Drosophila melanogaster: one gene and its partners. The protein of the gene in region 4 interacts with the protein of the main gene of each other region in a pairwise test. Each region holds a gene or a part of one and is shown on either strand. Other genes may lie near its edges.

The links.
Region 1: the proteins of Taf12 (region 4) and CG7518 interact in a two-hybrid assay, tested with the Drosophila melanogaster proteins (one large-scale study listed by BioGRID).
Region 2: the proteins of Taf12 (region 4) and CG6569 interact in a two-hybrid assay, tested with the Drosophila melanogaster proteins (one large-scale study listed by BioGRID).
Region 3: the proteins of Taf12 (region 4) and Atg4b interact in a two-hybrid assay, tested with the Drosophila melanogaster proteins (one large-scale study listed by BioGRID).

What each region holds. Positions count from the first base shown.
Region 1 is NT_033777.3:12,996,092-13,001,441, reverse strand, and holds the start of CG7518 (uncharacterized protein), read right to left. Parts: upstream 3,354-5,350; 5' UTR 2,858-3,353; coding exon 2,342-2,857; intron 2,002-2,341; coding exon 1,918-2,001; intron 1,860-1,917; coding exon 1,669-1,859; intron 1,591-1,668; coding exon 1,429-1,590; intron 1,372-1,428; coding exon 1,226-1,371; intron 1,052-1,225; coding exon 469-1,051; intron 364-468; coding exon 1-363. Other genes in the region: CG44194 (uncharacterized protein), read left to right, coding at 3,920-4,117; CG17327 (uncharacterized protein), read left to right, coding at 4,101-4,520; CG7488 (uncharacterized protein), read right to left, coding at 4,573-4,760, 4,818-5,350.
Region 2 is NT_033777.3:21,865,672-21,870,134, reverse strand, and holds CG6569 (uncharacterized protein), read left to right. Parts: upstream 1-2,215; 5' UTR 2,216-2,291; coding exon 2,292-2,326; exon of another isoform or gene 2,327-2,390; coding exon 2,391-2,730; intron 2,731-2,780; coding exon of another isoform or gene 2,781-2,783; exon of another isoform or gene 2,784-2,808; coding exon of another isoform or gene 2,809-2,841; exon of another isoform or gene 2,842-2,870; coding exon 2,871-3,368; intron 3,369-3,425; coding exon 3,426-3,625; intron 3,626-3,684; coding exon 3,685-3,892; 3' UTR 3,893-3,962; downstream 3,963-4,463. Other genes in the region: CG31174 (uncharacterized protein), read left to right, coding at 621-916, 974-1,096, 1,153-1,345; lsn (larsen), read right to left, coding at 3,963-4,110, 4,174-4,320, 4,388-4,463.
Region 3 is NT_033777.3:15,353,054-15,358,870, forward strand, and holds Atg4b (Autophagy-related 4b), read right to left. Parts: upstream 3,872-5,817; 5' UTR 3,764-3,871; intron 3,576-3,763; coding exon 2,621-3,575; intron 2,563-2,620; coding exon 2,367-2,562; intron 2,300-2,366; coding exon 2,223-2,299; intron 2,056-2,222; coding exon 1,580-2,055; intron 1,520-1,579; coding exon 1,217-1,519; 3' UTR 667-1,216; downstream 1-666. Other genes in the region: Tmtc4 (transmembrane O-mannosyltransferase targeting cadherins 4), read left to right, coding at 1-415; Hibch (3-hydroxyisobutyryl-CoA hydrolase), read left to right, coding at 4,265-4,267, 4,337-5,221, 5,486-5,758.
Region 4 is NT_033777.3:11,677,594-11,681,496, reverse strand, and holds Taf12 (TBP-associated factor 12), read left to right. Parts: upstream 1-1,806; 5' UTR 1,807-1,930; exon of another isoform or gene 1,931-2,098; 5' UTR 2,099-2,283; coding exon 2,284-2,553; intron 2,554-2,624; coding exon 2,625-2,945; 3' UTR 2,946-3,111; downstream 3,112-3,903. Other genes in the region: CG6830 (uncharacterized protein), read left to right, coding at 1-234, 295-509; Ho (heme oxygenase), read right to left, coding at 625-852, 908-1,413, 1,470-1,626; CG18476 (uncharacterized protein), read left to right, coding at 3,481-3,612, 3,680-3,903. UniProt on the Drosophila melanogaster protein: TFIID is a multimeric protein complex that plays a central role in mediating promoter responses to various activators and repressors.

The DNA of each region.
Region 1 (5,350 bases), 1.3 Mb from region 4:
TTCCTGGTGGCCAGGTGCTGGAATACCGCCCATGCGATGTGATATGTGGTGCGCAGGGTATCGGACGTCTCTGCCTGGCGGCGGAACACCGATCCACTGCTGCCGCTGCCTGTTGGTGACTCATCCTCTGGCAGATCGCTAGTGCGTCGCTGTTGCTGGGCGGTGGAGGTGGAGGAGCTCGTAGTAGCCGCTATGGCCGCATTGTGCTTGGCCTCATCACTGGTGCAGGTGCTAAGGATCTTGGACTTCATCAGCTTCGGATCCTTCTCGACAATGCCGAGCGTTGTGCACTTGGCACAATGGCCCGCTTGTCGTGGTCGCAAAGGAGTGCCGGCGATGGAGCAAGTGATGCATTTGCAGTTCCTGATATGGTACATAATGATAAAAATAATTTTAAAATTTTAATTTATATTATTTATTATTTTGTAAAATTTCAGATTGGGTGCACAATCTACCCAATCTACTTACTCGTTATGGTGCTCGAGAAGTGAATTGCACTTCTTGCAGAGATCCTCGTGCACCAGCTTATTGGGCGGATCGTAGAAGCCATCGGGCCACTTCAGCTTCGTGAAGGCCATGATATTCTTCCAGGCCAGCTGGCGATCGACGATGCGCTGGAAGTCTATAAACTCATCGTCGCTGATATCCGGCAGCGAAAAAGATGTGGCGTCCAGGACGACCTTGTCGAATATGTTGTACACATCGAGCAGGCCCATCCGGCGCTCGTGCTCCGTTGGCGACAAGTTAAACTTATTTAGCTCGATCCAGATGTCCGTCCAGCGCCGCTCAATGGAGTGCATGTGCTCGTCGAACAGCATGTACCGCTTAATCAGCGCCGTCGTCTGGGCCGATGGAGCCACCTCCTTCAACGACAGGATGCAGGCCAGCATGGTATCACCCAGGGGTGTGAATACATGCTGCTGGAAAAGGCGCTGGCATAGAAGAACCCACGACAGCCTGAACTTTCGCAGGAAATCGTTCTCAAACGCAAACAGGCTGAGCGAGATCTTCTGCGAGATGCAATTCAGATCAGAGTAGCCGTCCAGAATGTCTACACAGGGTTAAAAAACAAGAGTGATTCATTGAGTTTATATGTAAGTGGATTTTCCCTATGAAACCAGTTCGAGTTAAAAGATAAATTCCTCCTAGTCACTAAATTTATGTACTTAAGAGAAGAATATGCCCCTTATTTATTTAGTTAGCTATCATTTGAGAATTCCCTTACATGTCAGCATCCTTTCTGCCGAAATCTTCTCGTTTTCCTGAATATTTTGGGCAATTTCGATCATGCCCTCGGAAAACGCTTTCACAATGCATTCAACATTATAGGCGAGTATTTGTAGCAGCAGCATCGGATTGTTAGCCATTAATCTGTGAACAGATAATGCGTTTAAAGTAAACAAATGCAGGACTGGGGTGTTCACTTACATGGCGCTGAATAGCACTAATATCATATTGTCGGAGATCGCTGTATCATCAATAAAATCAAGATATTCGGCATTTTTATCGTAGAGGTAACCGCTCGTAATCCAATAGATCTCCTTGTTGCACTCAAGCAGTTTCTCAAACTTATTGTAGGCAGCATCGTTTCTGGAACAGAGATGTTTAAATGATTACCAACTGACTTAGGAGACTTTTTCTTATTGCAGTTTTGCAGACTGTTCTTACTTCAACATGGGACTGTAGGCCTTGATCAGTACGTCTAGCAACATGACCACCATGTGCGCAGCCTTAAATTGATCCATCATGATGGCCATGATGGTTTCGCGGTATTCGAGACATTCCTTGCAGGAACAAAATGTGAAGAACTCCTCCTTCCGGTGTTTCACAAATATGAAGGCAAGATTCTGGAAATATAGCTACAATGGATTAGGAGTACGTTTCGTTATACATCTTAATCCTTTCAAGCAAACACACCGTAATTGCACGCAGCTGTCCGTCGGCGTCACGAAGCGGATTCTTTGGATCCTCAGAGAACAGGCGCATGTTCTCAATGGCCATCTGAAAAGAAGGTGAACGATAGTGAGTATTTACTGAGAAAGCTTTATATTCTCAAATATAATGTATTTGGTATGATTGCACCTATCAATATTCTAAAGCATAATTTCAAATAAGTGTTCTTTAAACCAAAAAAAATCATGTTTAAGTATTTCGAAACATCTAAAGTCGATCTAATAAGATAATTTCTATCCCATTTGATTTGATAACTCATTAAATCCAATCTAAATGTAGGTATAATATAAAAAAATCCCACACACATCTTTAATAGTACATTTAAATAAAAAAAATACATGAAATGAAATCGATCTCCACAGCTTTCGGGCAGCTTCTGGGAACCCACCAAATACGATCGCGTCTCATCGTTGGGATCGCCGCCCTTGTGCTCGCACTCGTGCAGCAGCTTGTCGCTGAGCTCCAGTTCGATGGCGTTGTCTTCCCGCTGGCTCCACTGCATCAGCGATACGACCTCCTTGTAGACCGTCTCCGCTTTGGGGGCGGGGGCATAAGGATCAAAAGGAGGCAGGGCGAGGATCGTGTGCAGCGTGTTGATGATGTTGCCGTCGGGAAAGCTGAGCCGCTCCAGGAGCTGGCATGGCGGTGAGCTGCTCCGCGCCGGCTTCGCCTGTTGGACACCAGCAGGCGGTGGCGACGGATTCAGCTGGGAAGCGGTGGCGACGCAGGAGGAGGACGCTGTGGCATCCACATCGCCCTCCGCATCCGCATCTACATCTACGTCCATGGAGGACAGAGACATCACATGGCAGCAGGAAGGCGGCGCCTCCTCCATTGGCAGTTCGCCATTGACCAGCGGCTCATCTGCATCCGTTTCTTTGGTGTGCGCCACCTGATCGGCCATTTCTGGCGGGGCTTTCACGCGGTGGATGGGTCAATGAGCCCAGCCAACTCAGTCAGTCCCCGGCTCCGGATCACTTGTTAGTCTTTGGTGCTTCTGCTGGCCAAATCCGCGTATGCGCGACGCATTATTATATACGAAATCACAGATGTAGATGCACTTTCACTCGCTCACTGTATGCGCGCGCGTGTCTGTGTGTGTGCGCTGGTGTGTCGGTGTGCAAGTGTATAAGTGTGGGTATTGGATTGGTTTGGTTTTTGGAATCGAAATCGGTTTTGGAAAAGAACGCAGAGCAGCACAACGCAACGCGCTTTGCCCCTCGAATCGCGCCAAGTGCGCCTCTGCTTTCATCAGCGTTTCACTGCAGGGCCATCCGTTTGGATTTTCCGGGACCCGACTTTCCGTTGCCTCGCAGTTTCCGTTTCGTTTGCACCCACGATTGTTGTGATTTTCCGCTTTTTGTGATTTTTCGCCTGCTCGTTGCAATTCGCTCGTTTCTCGTTGATTGCATTCGCATCGGTGTGCCCGTGGCGGCCTTCGCTCAAATTACCGCAACGCCGCGCAAGAGTCACGAATAAATGGTCATACCCCGTGCACACTTGTTTGGCCGAAAAGTTTTCTACATCTATCCCAAAGAACAAACACAAACTTTTATTTATATGAGCTTTACTTTACTTCTGTGTGGTCCATTCTTAGAAAACTATACTAATGCGTTCTTAAAAATTTGATTTGGGAAATGTTAAAAAAGCATTTTAAGCCATACAAAAATTGTAAAACCATAGGAATGTATGTTTCATATACTTTTTTCAACATATATTGTAGGTAAAACAAATCATCATGTATTTATACAGAAAAAGGTCCCAAAGATCTAAAAATTTCCTATTCTGTCTATGGAATAAACACATTTATAATGCAAGAAAATATATTTTACAGTAAATTCTTTCAATTCGATAGTGGGCCAAATGTCGTACAGAATATATCCGTGTCCCTTCGATGTGTTGACAACCCTGACCGAATTTCGTAATTTCGAAACGAACGAATTCAGCCGGCGAAGTGGAGAAGAAAATGTCCGCATCGACGGACCAGGATCCCGTGGAACTAATGCTGAAGAAGACCGGCTGCATAGAGCTTCACTACAAGGTGCAGGAGTGTATCGCCGAGACGGGCGACTGGAGGGCTTGCCAGGAGAAGGTGAAAGAGTTCCGGGCGTGCATGCAGAAGTACGTGGAGCAGCAGAGCCAGAAGTATGCCCACGTCAAGTAGCATCCTGCAGAAGTTCCTCAGCAACGGTTTGGCCTTCGGCAAGTCCACCAAACTGGCGCTGGTGGTCCGAACCGACCTAAAGATGTCCAAGGGAAAGACAGCGGCCCAGTGCGCCCATGCGGCGGTCATGTGCTACCAGAGCTCTGTGCAGGGAACCAAGCTGCAGAACGCCATTCTGCAGCGTTGGTGTCGCCTGGGACAGCCGAAGATAGTGCTGCGCGTGGACAACTTCGAGCAGCTAAACTCCCTGGAGCGACAGGCCCAAGAGTCGAACGTGGTGGCCGCCTTGGTGAGGGATGCCGGGCGCACTCAGCTGGAATCTGGGACAGCAACGGTCCTCGGACTGGGTCCAGCCCCTGCCGAAGATCTAGACAAATTGGTGGCGCATTTGAAGCTTTTGTGAACTCTTAGGTTTATGCAACGTTACAAATAAAGTACAAGTAATCAACAAGTGCTCAAGCGGCGGTCTTCTTGCCCTTGGAAACTGTAGATATAGTAAGGGACACTGCTTGGCCGAACATCTCCACCAGGTCTGATGTAACTCGCTCCGTGATCTGCCGCAGCTTGCCATTACCCTCGCCACAGATTAGGCGCTCGATTCGCGTGGTGGGGCACTGAACCTGCACGGATGTGTAGACAACATCTGCAAAGAAAATCGGAATTGAAAAGGATTTCTTTACGAGTGTACAGAAGTACTCACTTTTTTCCACACTGTAGTACTCGATCTCGCACTTAAGGTTGTAGGGTATCTCCTGCGGCAAGTAGTCCAGCAGACGAGCCCGCACACTCTCCACAATTAATGCTTCTGGGCTGGAGTCCGTATGAATGTCAGCTGGGTATTTCCAATCCCTGGGCTTAGCCTGGCCCACCAGGTAGTTCTGCATCTCCTGCAGCCCATTGCCGGTCAAGGCGGAAACAAGAAACACGTCGCTAAAATGGCTCCAGCTAGACTCCCGCTTGTTGATTCTTATTTCCTTGGCGAGAGCACTTTTTGCCTGGACTTCCCGCTTGCCAACTGTCAAGGTGTCGTTGGTGAGTGTCTTGATCAGATCCAACAGCAAACGCTTCGACTTCAGGGCGTCTATCTTATTCAGCACCAGGAAACTGGGCAGGTTGCTATACGCCTTCAGCGTATCCAAGACAGTGGGATGCAGTTCCTTCCTAGTCCAGGCATTTGAGGCATCGTGCACCACGGCGATGATGTCCGCATGCTGTATGGCATGGCGGTAGGCA
Region 2 (4,463 bases), about 10 Mb from region 4:
CAGCTCTTGTGCGAGTCACACAGTGGGTTTGGTTTTTGGTGATAAGCCATGGGTTTCAAGCGAACCCATCGATAGCCGGAGCTTATCGGGTGGTGGTGGCTTATCAAACGGCCCATAAATGGAGCAGAAGCCACCGGCTGCTCGACGCCGGAACTCCGCGATACCAACAAATGGCGTCTATAGATTGCTACAAATGGCGACAACAATGCCACCAATTTGACCAGCAGCTCCAATGCTCGCCATGCTCGAAATGCGCAACAAATCCAAATTAATTCCCAATGGGCCGGTCAACAAAAGCCCCCCAGCCAGACCACTTGATAACTTCCCGATGGGCATGTGAAACTGATTAATGTGGCATTATAAATAGGACTCAAGTATGTGGTTGGGTCTTAATCGAAATTAGCTTACTTTGGGTAAAAATAAATTTATGGTATTTACGATAAATAAACAAATGCGCTTATTACTCGAACTGATTTACTTTGTGATCGAGAAACAAATGGAAACATGTTCCCTTTGCATTTAGTTTACTATCACCATTTAATTCAGTATAAATTTATCGAGTTATTGGTCTTAAAGCCAAGGATATAAAGTTTTAGGTTTTGGTTCAGAATCAGGACGATATGGACGACTTGAACGATGTCATCGCAAATTTGAGCATTAAATCCAAGAACTTTATAGATGAGGCTGCAAAATCATTAACCCCAACAATGGTGGGATTCAAAAGAGAACCTGAGCGAAATCAAAACTGTACCTACTTTATGCAGAATACCTGCCAGCTTTATCAAAACATTTCTAAATCCCATCCCAAGATTGAAAACAGTGTTAAATTCGATGAAGATTTTGTGATGCATATGGAACCTGAGATCAAGGTGGAATGCTCTGTTGATGATCCCAATAAAGAAGTTCAAATTTTGCTGTATGATCCTAAATCATTTACGTATAATATTTACATGAACATTTTTTTTTAACACAGAAAAAAGGAACGCTTGAAGCAGAAATATATGGAAGCTTTGAAGCTGGATGAAAACCTTGAAGCTAGAGTGAAACAATCGGCCATTGAATCCAATCCCGATATGGAGGAACAACAAGCTGAATTGTGAGATCATAACTTTATTTATGATAGCATTTACTTAACTTTATTGGCATTTATAGAAGAAAACTTCACAAGGATCAAGTGGAAATGTACAAAGGTGTGCAGGAAGAAATTATGGTTTCCTTCAAGAGAGACATGGATGATCTAATGCAACAGTATGAAGCTGAGTACTCGCGACTTAGTAAGGTCCACTCTAAGTGGGTAAATTCCGAGAATGATTCCACCAATAACTCAAACACTCATCAGCCTTAGTCATCGCTTAGGAATTTTTAAGATTTTAGCATTTTATTAGTGAAATCAAAACGTATTTATGTAGTTTCTTGGGTTTTAACATTTGACAATAAAAAATATTCAGTATATCAAATATTTTGTTTATTTTATACAGCTTTTTTATCACTTTTCCTTTGGCTTCAGCTCACTTAGTTCCGTCGCGCTCGGCCAGCAGATCCAGCATCACCTCGATCTTAAGATTACACATATTGTTCTCCTCCTCGAGGGCACGAAACTTCTTGTTCAGCCGGAGCATATCATCTACGTCACCCTTTCGGGTCGAATGCATCCAGATGCCGTCCGCAAAACGCAGCTCCTTGTTGCCCAGCGTTAGGGAAATCTGGCGGAAGTCATCCAGATCCTCGGTGGCCACCGGATGTCCTATATTGCAACGTCCCTGACGCACTGGAATCGGCTTCGACTCGAACTTCTTGTTGAAGAGCGGCATTGCAAACAACTGAAACGGAAAGTTGACCACATTTCGATTACATCCCCATTTGTTTGCCACTGCCCCGTTGCCCAGGACAACAGACACTTGTCAGGGGATCAGCGTTCGCGGCAGGACTCGTGCCAGGTTTTTAATGGCTAGTAAGACCGTATCCATATGTACCTGCTTGAAGGGTAGCGGCTGGCTGTCAGAGATTGACGAGGGGCAGCAAAAGGTTGCCAGTTGCATAAAATCGGTGAAATACAGAGAACTCCTTGCTGCACGCGGGGATACGGATGGATTTCTAAGCCAAACTGCCTTCAACAGGATTTTAAATGCCTGATAATTTAAAAGACAAAGCTTGCTTCATCGCAGAAACTCGTCTCATGTCAAACATAAACATTTTGTTTGGTTCATTGATGAAATTCTATACAAACACACAATAAACCCGATACACAACTCTGCTGTGAAAAATAATATGATTCCAAACACACAACAAATATGACACAACACGAAAATCAGCAAGCCATTCTCAGGTAGGAGAGCAAAGGAAAATTTGTCAACTAAAGTTAGTCAACGCGCAGCCAATTCACCATTTAGCAACTTTGTGCTGGAAATGTGTGAAGGAGTGGATCGACTGATGCGGGATCAGGCCGAACTGAAGGTTCACCTCAACGAAATTCTAAATGAGAACCGCCGGCTGGACATCGAATTGGCCAAATGCAGGAGCATCTTGGTTAGCGGCGATTACCAGGAGCTCAAGCATCGCCTTCAACTCAGCAACAAGGCTTTGGACGCGTCCAAGAAGCAGGTGGATGAGCTTATCAAGGAACGGAACAGCCTGAAAACCATGCATGACCTCTCCAAACAGACCATCGAAACCATGGAGATGGATCTTAAGAATTATCGCGTCCAATTGAAAATGTCTGGAGATGACCAGGTATTATTGCACTTCATCATTCCAATCCCGTATTGATTATCATATTATAGTAAGCTTTGACCAAATCGTATGTTTTAGGGACCAGAGACTAATGGAAAAATCCTAAAGTAAACTTCAACGTTTTCGGAATTCAATTTTAGGTCATACAGCGGTACTCGAAGATCGTCAAAGTGCTGGAGGCAAAAGTTGAGGACCAGCAGAAGGAGATACGCACGCAGGCGGAGACCATAAAGGCCCTGCACGATCACAAGCAGCACAGCGGATTGCAACTCCAGCAGCTGCATGCTCAACTGCAGGATAGCGAGCAGAGTCAATCCAAGGTGTCCATCCTGCAGAAGCAGCTTAAGGAGTACGAACTATCGCTGAGCCACACCCACAATTTGCTCATGGAGAGCACAAGACGGGAAACCGCCGCCATGCGCAAGCTCGAGGAGGCTATCATACTCAGCGAAGAGGCAAACAAGGAGAAAATAGATGCCACAAAGCTGGCCGAGACCTACAAGGAGGAGATGACCCACCTAGCCTCCAATATCGGTACCATAATGGATGAGGCCTCCACACGCGTCGACGTTGAAGTGGGCCATCTGAAGAATATGCTCAAGCAAAAGGACATTATAATTACCACCATAAAGGAGAAGGTAAAAGTCTATATTCGTATAATAATTATCACTTATAGTTACACTTACAAATTTTAGCTGAAAAAACTGGCTGTCGATCATAAGTCGGTGGTGCACATGCTGGAGACCCGGAGCAATCGCCTGGAGCAAAAGTACAAGGAGGTGCTGAAGCAGAACGATAAGCTGGAGGCCGAGTTGGAGGCAACTTGCCGGCGACTTGGCGAACTGGAGCGATCCGTTACTGAAGCTTACGGTGGGGATGCCGAAGATGCCAGGATGTGAGTATACAACATAGACAATTAATGACAAACATGATTATAAATCATAACGCTTTTAGAAAAATGTACTATAAGTCTCAAATGGATCGCTGCATAATGGATCACAAGAAAATGAAGGAGAAATACCGCGAGGGCATGGAGGACATCACGCAACGCTTCGAATCGGAAATTTACAAGTTAAGGGAGGAGAACTCCGTGCTGCTGGCGGAAAACGAACTGCTTAAGAGCGGTGCCGCAGGCGATAGCTCCAAGCAGACTTCACGCTGATTTTACGGTTGTACAAATATATATTTTATGATAACTCTCGTACATAATAAATTAGTTCTACGAGATCACACTATGTGGCGGCCGTTGTCTGTGCGTTTCGACCGGGAAACAAACTGGGAAACCAATAGGCTGGCTCATCGCCCGCCTGCTTGTCAATCCAACAGAGACCTTCGCCGAGCACCTTGTCCAGTGACTGTTGAGCACGATAGTCGGTCCAGCTGAGAACGGATAACACGGAAATCAAAGGGATATTCAGTTGAAAGTACAAGTGAAATTCTTACCCCAAATCCTTGATCAGCTGACTCTGCGTAACACAGCCTTGTTCGGTATTGGATGCGGCATTCAGTATGTTGGTCTCCTCCATGCTCAGCTCTCCGGGAATGGACTGAACTATGTACTTGCCCTTGCCCAGCTTGTGAACCACAAAGCTGAAGGTACGTTATGGAAAACGAGAAACTTGTGATATTGAATGCAAGCAGAGGTAATGACCCATACCCGTTGCCAAAAATGCTCAATTTCTTAGCGGCCATTAGGATGTCCTCCTTGGTGATCTCCTGGTGCACTGAACTCT
Region 3 (5,817 bases), 3.7 Mb from region 4:
TTGGCAGCATGCTGTGGCACTAAATCCCCGCCAGCCAAAAGCCTGGGCTAACATTCTGACAATGCTGGACAACAAGGGGTTGCAGGATGACGCCTTGCGCATCTCTAATCAGGCTCTCCAACATCTACCCAACGATGTCAGTATCCTTTTCATTCGAGCAAACGTGCTTGGCAAATTAAAACATTATACGGAGGCGGAGGCGATCTACAAGCGCGTTATTGAGCTGGAGCCCCACAACACATTGTACCACACGAATCTCGGAGTTCTCTATCATCGCTGGGACAAGACGCAGGAGGCTATAGAGGCTTATCGGACTGCAATAAGTATTAGTGCGGCTAGAGCAACGACAGCCCGGGAGAATCTCAGCAAGCTCTTAAAACGCCTGGAAAGGGAGGCGCAAGTCATGCAGAGATAAGCGTTTCAAGTCCCACCATCCAAATATGGATCCAACCAAAATCTTGGTTGTTTGCAAATAATAAGAGGTATGTACACTTCGCAAGCTGTAATAATCCCAAACGAAAGACGAGGTTGTGGGTTAAATTACTTATTCATAAAAGACATTAAAACTAGTTAGTCTAATTTAATTTTAATTCCGTGCAATATTGTATCTATATCATACATTCATATCCCATCAGCTAAAATCTCATGACACCCTAATTGTATTTAGTATAAGTTAGGATAGTTTATTCATTTACTCGAGGGTATATACAATTAATGTTAAAACTAAATAATGATCGAACAATTACAAGACGACTTACATAATTTAACTAAACTCTAGAACTAAGCGCTACATGAAATACTTCAAAGAATAGTGACAATTGTGGCACCATTGTAAAATAATTCAATTCCATTAAAGATTCATGATTTTAAAATAATAATACCGCAAATTACATAGGTTTATATATAACACATATAAACAGATCGGGCTGCTCGAACATGGAAATAGCTGAAAAACTTTGGCAGAATGCGAGACGACAGGTCGAACAAAAGAGAGATTAACGTGGACATCAGTAAATATTCAAGATACATGCATGCGTCTATGTACTATATGCGTAGGCGTAAAGGTACAACAAAGTCTTTGTGTTTGAGATACGGGTCTGTTGGGTTTTTCTGGGCGAGCAAGCAAGCAGCAGCGGCTGGCAACTAAATCAAATAATAATGAGCAAATAACACAGCTAGCACAGCAACAGGGTTATGTGGTGGTGGCGGCAACGATCTACAGCAGCACAAACTCTTCGCTTTCACTATCATCTTGGTCGTGCTCATCGCCGTGCTGTGGCGGCGCCAGTTGAGCGCCCAATTCCTGGGCCAGAGAAGCCACCTGTTTTATGAGCGGCTTGTACAGCGAATCGCTCATTTCGTCCCGCTCGTGATCCATGCAACGACCGCGGGAAAATGAGAACAATGGATAGTTCATCTCTGTTTGCTCGGTTTGATGGGATGACTGAGGCGTCGTATGATGGCTCCCGGCCGCCTTATCCACAGTTGCCCCTGAGGCGCAACGCATAGGATGCAAATACTGTTGAAATTAAGATATTTAATAGGACGTTGGAAAACGAAATGTTTGGCTTTTGCTTACCAACTGTACGCTCTCCATAAAATTGTCGAAATCACTTTTGGTGGCACAGTAAAAGCCGATACAACAACTAGGATCCATTTTGCTGGCCTTAAGCTTCCGCGGCGACTTGCAGTGAAACGAGTGCAGGGAGAAGTTCTCTTGGTTCACATCCACCATCTCCTGGCAATAGTGCGGATCCAAGTGGATGAGCCTGTCCTCCTGGAAGCCGACAAAGTACAGCGAATGCTTTGGCTTTCCACCAAGGATGCCCAGGCAGTGTTCTGTACTCAGCAGCAGCTTCAGACAATGGGCATACACAGGATTCAGTTTATCACTGCCCAGGCGCAAAGGTATCAGAACGATGAGGGACTTCCAGTGCTGTTGTTGCTCCGTTTTGGTAGTTTCCGCCTGCGGCCGCTTCGCTTGTTGCCAAGGCACATGGGGTTTTGGCGCCGGTTCCGGAATGCTGCATTGATCCTCAATATCTTGCAAGTAAACTAAAACAACACAAAGACGGTTATCAAATCACATACGTTATCAATTGAGCCCCTGAGTAATGAGCTTCGCGAACAAGGTTGCAGCAATTACTCATGAACATATCAATGTGTCATGGTAGTTATCTTATGAATCTTTGATTAAGGGATTCCTTTCTGCTTGAACTTACTCGTGCAATCTTTGGCTACATAGACACTAATATTGTCAAAGTCTGCATTTTCCTGAGCCGCGTGCTCTAAGGCGTGTCTGTGGTGAAGTTGAAGAGTTGTTTGATTTAATAAAGATTAAAAAAGCGATAAAGATCTGTACTCACTTAAGCAAATAGGAAACAGAGGCGGGACCGTACCAATCGCCAGGTTTTTTACCCAAATGCTCCCCCAGCCGCACCAGGGCGTGGATGGAGAAGGGACTGCTTTTTGAGGAACTGTCCCCGAACCACTTGACGATCTTCTTATGCATATTGTCCTCGTAAGTCGAGTGCAACTGGGACTCTGAATCATAGCGCCAGCCTGAAGCATAAAGGTTTATTGGTAATCAAACATATTTGTGCGGGTTCATTTAACTTACTTCGCCCTAGGAAGTGACAGATGAGTCCTTGAGCGAAGAGCATCTGACCACTCCTTAGCATACAGCCCCAACCGCAGTCCGAGGTGTAGTTGGAGCCATTCATTATTGGGAACTCTCGACGGTAGGTCATCCAAATCCTACTGTAAAAGTCACGACGAAAGCCTTCGATGCCCTCCTCCCAAGGCTGTTCGCCCACTTGGTTCTCCACCGCGTCCATTCCCAGTTCCTGGGGCACCACAATCTCATCGATCTGCTGCGGATTAAGGGCTGGATACAAGGAGGTTGATGTCGATGTGGCCTGAATGCTGTCGAACGCCGATGTGGCGTTATCGGGGGTGGTATCCGCCCCGCTGGGCAGCTCGGTGATGGAACTTTCCATGCTTACGGGCGGAGTAAAGCGTCGATGATAGCACCGTCCTAGCAGCCACACGGGCTGCTCCTTTGAGAAGCTGGTCTGCCTCATCTTGCCGCTCCAGCCATACTTCACATTGTGCCACATTGCGACGAGCTTGGACTCCATGCCCTTGGTGGGAGTACGGTTTGCCGACAGGTCACCGGGTTCCTCGTTGTGCTGCTCCACGTGACCGCAGCTCGGACCGCTGTTGCCGCCGCCGTAGAGCTGACTGAAGGCGTTCATGAAACGTGATGACGTCGATATTTTGCGCTGCGGAGTCGCTGTCGCAGCGTTTTCCGTCTTGAGGTTCAGATTGGCACCTGATGTGCTTACGGGGGAGGGGGAAGGGACGCGTGGAACGGCGAATACAGTGCGATGAATCGTCTGTATGGGGGCCGCCTGCTCCTCCTCGATGGCGCCGTCCTCCACCAGCGGCAAGGAGAGCGGATCCGCATCCTGGCCGCATATCCGGCTACCCTCTACAATGGTCCCCTCGCCGGCGGCTTCGAAGAGCATCAGTTTTTCGTCGGTCAACTTGGAAAGGAGGCCGTCATAGTTCATCTGGTTGGTGGCCGTGGACGAGGACATGAAAACAGAGGCGGAAGTGGTAGAAGAGCTATGACGCTTTGTCCGCAGCTTGCGGAACTTAAAGAACTGCGGCATTGTAATCTTGGTGCGAGCCCCTTGCTGGCCCTGGCTTAACTGACAACCGACCACCGATTGCGTGCTAATTACAAATGTTTACTCACCGTTTATTTGTTGACAAAATAAGATAAAGTAACTCCACGAAATTTGTTTTTCTTATTCGCGAGAAGTACAATTGCCAATTTCAGTGTTGCCAGACTGCAAATCTGCTCTATTATGAATATGTAGGTAATGTGTGTTCTTTTTTACGTTTATCTACTAATGAGTTCAAAATGAATAGTGAATTTTGTTATCAACAGGTTTGTGTTAAACTATTTTTAAACAATTTGTATCTTTATCTAAAATTCTTATACATATAATATTTGAATTAATAAATTAAAAGGCGCCTGGTATAGGTCTGCCCTTGGCATGTCCATTTAATAGTAATATTTTACGCGGAAAACGATTTCTGGAACACCCTTATTTACTTCCGGCATGTGTGCGGTCTGGCAGCTCCGCGACAAGAATGACCAGCTGTGCGGGTGCTAAAATTCTATTGCGCAACGCTGAATTTCTAAACACTCGCTTCGCCCCACACACAACATTACTGACGACAGCCGCTCAAAATGGTAAGTAATGCAAATTCCTGCAAATAGAAGCGCTTAGCTAATCGAAAACAATTCGATGTCGCCGTCCAGCAGGGCCCAATTCAAAGGTTGGTGTACACATTTGGTCATCGCACCTGTAGCCAATTGCCGATGATCGGCGGAGCAACGATATCCCAAACAAAACCAACAACAATGGCTCTCTCCGTTCGCCAATCCTCCTCCTCCGTGCTGGCCACGGAGTCCTCTAACAAGGGAATGATTATTCTGAACCGGCCCAAGGCGCTTAACGCCATCAACTTGGAGATGGTACGCAAGATCTACAAGCACCTGAAGAAGTGCGAGAAGTCCAAGTCGCTGGTGATCATCAAGGGCACAGGTGACAAGGCCTTCTGCGCCGGTGGAGATGTGCGCGCTCTGGTCGAGGCTGGCCCTACGGATGAGTCGAAGAGCTTCTTCCGGGAGGAGTACAGCACGAATGCCCTGATCGGAAACTATAAGATTCCCTACATCGCCATCATTGACGGTATTACCATGGGCGGTGGCGTGGGTCTGAGTGTGCATGGCAAGTACCGGGTGGCCAGCGATCGGACACTGTTCGCCATGCCCGAGACGGCGATTGGCCTCTTCCCGGATGTGGGTGGATCATACTTCCTGCCTCGACTGCAGGGAAAGCTGGGCCTCTATCTGGGTCTCACAGGATATCGACTGCGCGGAGCCGATGTCTATTACTCAGGCATTGCTACGCACTACTGCGAGAGCAGCAAGATCCCTGATCTGGAGACGGCTCTCCTTAACTGCCCGGATGCGGATGATGTGCCTGAGCTGCTGCAGAAGTACCATTCCCCGCCAGAAAAGCCCTTCTCGCTGCAGCCTGTCCTGGAGCAGATCAACAAGAACTTTTCAGCGGACTCGGTGGAGGGGATTCTAGAGAATCTGCAGAACGATGGCAGTGAATGGGCCAAGAAGACGCTTGAGGTGAGTGGGGCACAGTTTACTAAGTGATAAGAACACAATCGGATGTTAATTGGCTGGGCCAATCATCGCTTGACGCGCGCTTTTAGCGCCTAAATATTTGATCCGTTTCCAGCCAATTAGCAACGCTTTAGTTGCTGCACGACTTTTCTTAACTGAATAAGTTACACTAGCTCACAAACTCACACCCCACACCTTGTTGCATTTTTCTATTAGAGTTGAATTTTATTATTGAAATCAGACACATTGCTTTTTTCTTTGTTTTAGACGCTCTCGAAGATGTCTCCCACCTCGATGAAGGTTACGTTCCGTCAGTTGGAGCTCGGATCACAGCTGTCGCTGGCTCAGTGTCTTATTATGGAATATCGTCTGGCCGTGCGTCATCTGGAGCGAAGTGATTTCAAGGAGGGAGTGCGCGCCCTACTCATCGACAAGGATCAGAAGCCCCAGTGGCAGCCAACCAAGCTGGCCGATGTCACTGAGGAACATGTGCAGTGGTTTTTCCGCAAGCTACCGGACACCGAGGAACTCAAGCTGTAATGTAGCAAGCTTAGTTTTGTTTTTGTTTGAGCCTTGGCATCCAATCCTGTTTGTCTTCC
Region 4 (3,903 bases):
TCAAGGAAACCCTCCTGTTGGATCACCAAGTCACGAAGTATGGAAATCCTGCCCAGGATCTGTATTACTTCATAATGAGCTCCACTCAACTGGACATCAAAGTCGATCAGTTTGACTACCTTATCCGATGGTATCATCAAAACATGAAGGAGCACGCCAAGCTGTTGAACTACAACGGATTTATTCCCTCGCTAAAGGAACTGCACGCCATTCTGATACAGCACCCCATTTTTGGTAATTTACAGAAGGATTTGAGGTTTTTAAATTCCTCTGACTGACATGTTTTTCTTCAAGCTGCTGGAACTGTGCTCACTACCTTGTCGATGTGTCTTAACAAGACAACCGATGACTTTACCACTGATAGCTTTTTGGGAAATGAAGAGAATGGCAAATCCCTGAGGGAGGCAATGTTTAGCAACGAACGTTATAGGGCCAATATAGAGCGTGTCATGCCATGGATAAATAGACGAGGACTGCTTGATAATTTTGCCAACGGACATTCCCAATAAATACTTTACTTCAGACAAATTTCAGGTTATTTACTATTTAACAAACGACTAAATAAATGTGTGATCACAATTCTAACTTGCTCAAGAGAGCTTACATTTGTATTTCCTACTTTTCTTACTTGAGAGCAAATTTCACGGCCACTACAATACTTGAAACAAAGATTAGTGCGAGGGCCAGCTTCCTAAGATTGGCACGATTCACACCTTTGATGGTCCGTACTACTTCTATATTTAAGCGAAATACGTTGCGACTTTCCTCAATAAAAGCAGCACGCAAATCATCGTCAAAAGCTCCGTAGTGATTGTTGAAAACGCGCCTTAGTTTGGCCTTTAAGACAGAGATCTGAAAGTGGATATAAAGACAATAGATATAAGGAACAAAGTAAAAAGCTACGCACCTTCTCAGGAAAATATGTGGCCTCACATCCCGGCGGGCAAATGGTAACCTGGGCAGGCATTGGCCTGGCCTCCAAGTCGTCTTTGTCTACAGAGCCATCGGCAGCTCTGGCGGTGGCCAACTCTGCCTCCTTGTCGGCCTGCTTCTGCTGCTCCTCGTCATCGTTCTTTGAAAAGATCCACATTTTACGAGCGATCATACGCTTCTTCTGCAACATTTGTCCGCCGGACATCAAAGCCATGTACATCTGATAGGAGTAGGCGAACAGCAAGAGTTCGTTCTGTGCGGCAATCTTTTCCAGATGCTCGAGATATTTCTGGACCGCCGGGCGAATTTCGTAGTCCTTCCTCCAATCGGAACCGTAGAAATAGGCAAAATCCCTTTCAAATGCCGCTGTTCTGTGGAATTCTTTGGGCAGCAGGCGCTCCGGCAGATGGGTCTCAAAGAATTTGTACAGTTCGTAGAAGGCCAGGAGTCCATCATACCAGACCTCGTCATCAGAAAGGGCTATGGAAGAAGAGGAATATCTAATAACTTCTAATAATATCGTGTAATTAACGAACCAAGTGCGATCTTTGCATTCACTAGAACATCAGTAAGATTATGCACATCTTTTGTGGCTTTACGCAACTCCTTTGTGAACGCCATGTCTACGAATTCCACATCCTCCACATTCTCGGAGACCTGACTGTCCGCTATTGTTTCTTCGCTCGCTGACATGTTTCTTTTGCGCAGCTATTGTTCCCAATTACAAAGTAAAATATATTCCTTATCTACGTGATATTTGCAAAATACGCCGTCTTTGTTTTGTTTTGAACTCCACGCCAGTGTGGCTGTCTAACTAAAATATACTGAAATTAAACGTAAATATACCAAATTGCTTTATAGCACCAGCGGGCATTTCAGAGTCGCCTGCAACTGGCCATACTGTTGATTTGGCTGTAGTTGCTCCGCTTATTTTTATTTTGTTTAGTAATTTAGGAAAGTAATAGTTTAAGATCAAAGTGTTAAAACCGCAATAATTGTAAGTGTTGCATGCGCTAAGAGCAACTGCTAAGTAACACTTTAGTTTTAGTAAACACACAAAGCGACGGATTCTTAAGACCGCACGCGTGAAATTGACCACTCTATTCTTTTACTTACATTTCGCTTTGCAACCAAACACCCACGCACACACAATCACCGACTGCAGTTGAGAAAGCAGGAGGACACACAACATAAGCAGCAACAACAACAAGTACACTAACGCTTTTGGCTTTGGTTCTGCACTCTTACCCACTCCCCAAAAATCCGCCCAACTTACTGTACTTTCCCCAAACACTTCCAACCAACCGACCTACCACCCACTTGATTTGACTCTGAAGAAACCCAAAAGCAATGTCGGATCTCTTTACCACTTTCGATAGCAACGGCGTCGCCGAGCACCACCTGCACCACAACCACAACTCCACATCGTCCGCCAGCGGACTGCTCCACGACCCACCCATGGCCTCGCCCTCCCAGCACAGTCCGATGACCAACAACAGCAACTCATCCTCGCAGAACGGCGGACCGGTTTCCGGTTTGGGTACGGGAACGGGCCCCATATCTGGTGGTAGCAAGTCATCCAATCACACATCATCCGCCGCCGGTTCCGAGAACACTCCCGTAAGATGCGTGCCTTATGGAGTGCACACGGAATACGCCAGGGTCTAGTTTAACTCTCTTCCGAATTACAGATGCTTACCAAACCGCGTCTCACAGAGCTCGTCCGAGAGGTGGATACCACCACGCAGCTGGACGAGGATGTTGAGGAGCTTCTGCTTCAGATCATCGACGACTTTGTCGAGGACACCGTCAAGTCGACGAGCGCCTTCGCCAAGCACCGAAAGTCTAACAAGATCGAGGTGCGCGACGTGCAGCTGCACTTTGAGCGGAAGTACAACATGTGGATACCCGGCTTCGGTACGGACGAACTGCGTCCCTACAAGCGGGCAGCTGTCACGGAGGCGCACAAACAGCGCCTTGCCCTCATACGGAAAACGATCAAGAAATACTAGAGGATTGGATCTAATCGGGTCGAGGCTCTGTTTCGGTTTGCCGGATTTCGCGTATGCTAAACGTGCACACGCCACAAACTAATTTAAGCTCCAATTTAGATTAAATAACAAATTATCGTCGCTCTATTGTAGATTTATTGTAATAAAAGTGCACTATTGATTTCACATTCAACAATTGGTCACCGTCAGCAGTAAATTTTAAGTCGTGATTTTTTAATCACAGTTTCTAATGGTTCTGTAATATTTGTATTAATTGTTTGTCTGGTGGATATTGATTTATATTTTTCATAATTTAACAATTTCTTCAGTTTATTTTAAAAATATTTGTGTAATATTTCCCTTTGAAAATAATTAGCGGACTCTGCTGAACGCACCCAATTAATTGCTGTATTTTTTAACAACGTGGTATTTTTTTAATGACCGAACGGTATTTTCCATCTCTCGCATCAAGGTCATACCATCAATAATGTTGATTTTCTGATTGTTGATTTAAAATTAAAAAAGCTTTCAATTGGCCAAAACAAATTTGTTCGCCATGAAGCTGCCGGTGATTTGTCGCACGTGCGACTCCACGGACACCGACAACCTTCTGAAGCTGGCCACGCCCTCGAAAAAGTATCCGGACAAGTTGCTTTCGGAGATTTTATGCGAGCTAACCGAAATCAATGTAAACAAAGTTCTAAGAAGCGAAATCTACGAAAAATGCAAACTAAAATGAAACATTTACCTTTCAGCTGGATGCAACTGGTAGTCAGAAATTTCCGCAATGCTTGTGCAGTGGATGCACCAAAAAATTAATGGGTGCCTATTGCTATGTGAAGCAGGCGATGGCCGCCAACGAACTTCTAATGAAGCATCTAAAGAACGGTGCTGCTCCAACGTCAACCGACTGTCTGCAGGAGGCGCCGATGGAGCTGTGTGCTGAGCAGCATGTGGAAGTCAAGCTGGAGACTGAGGA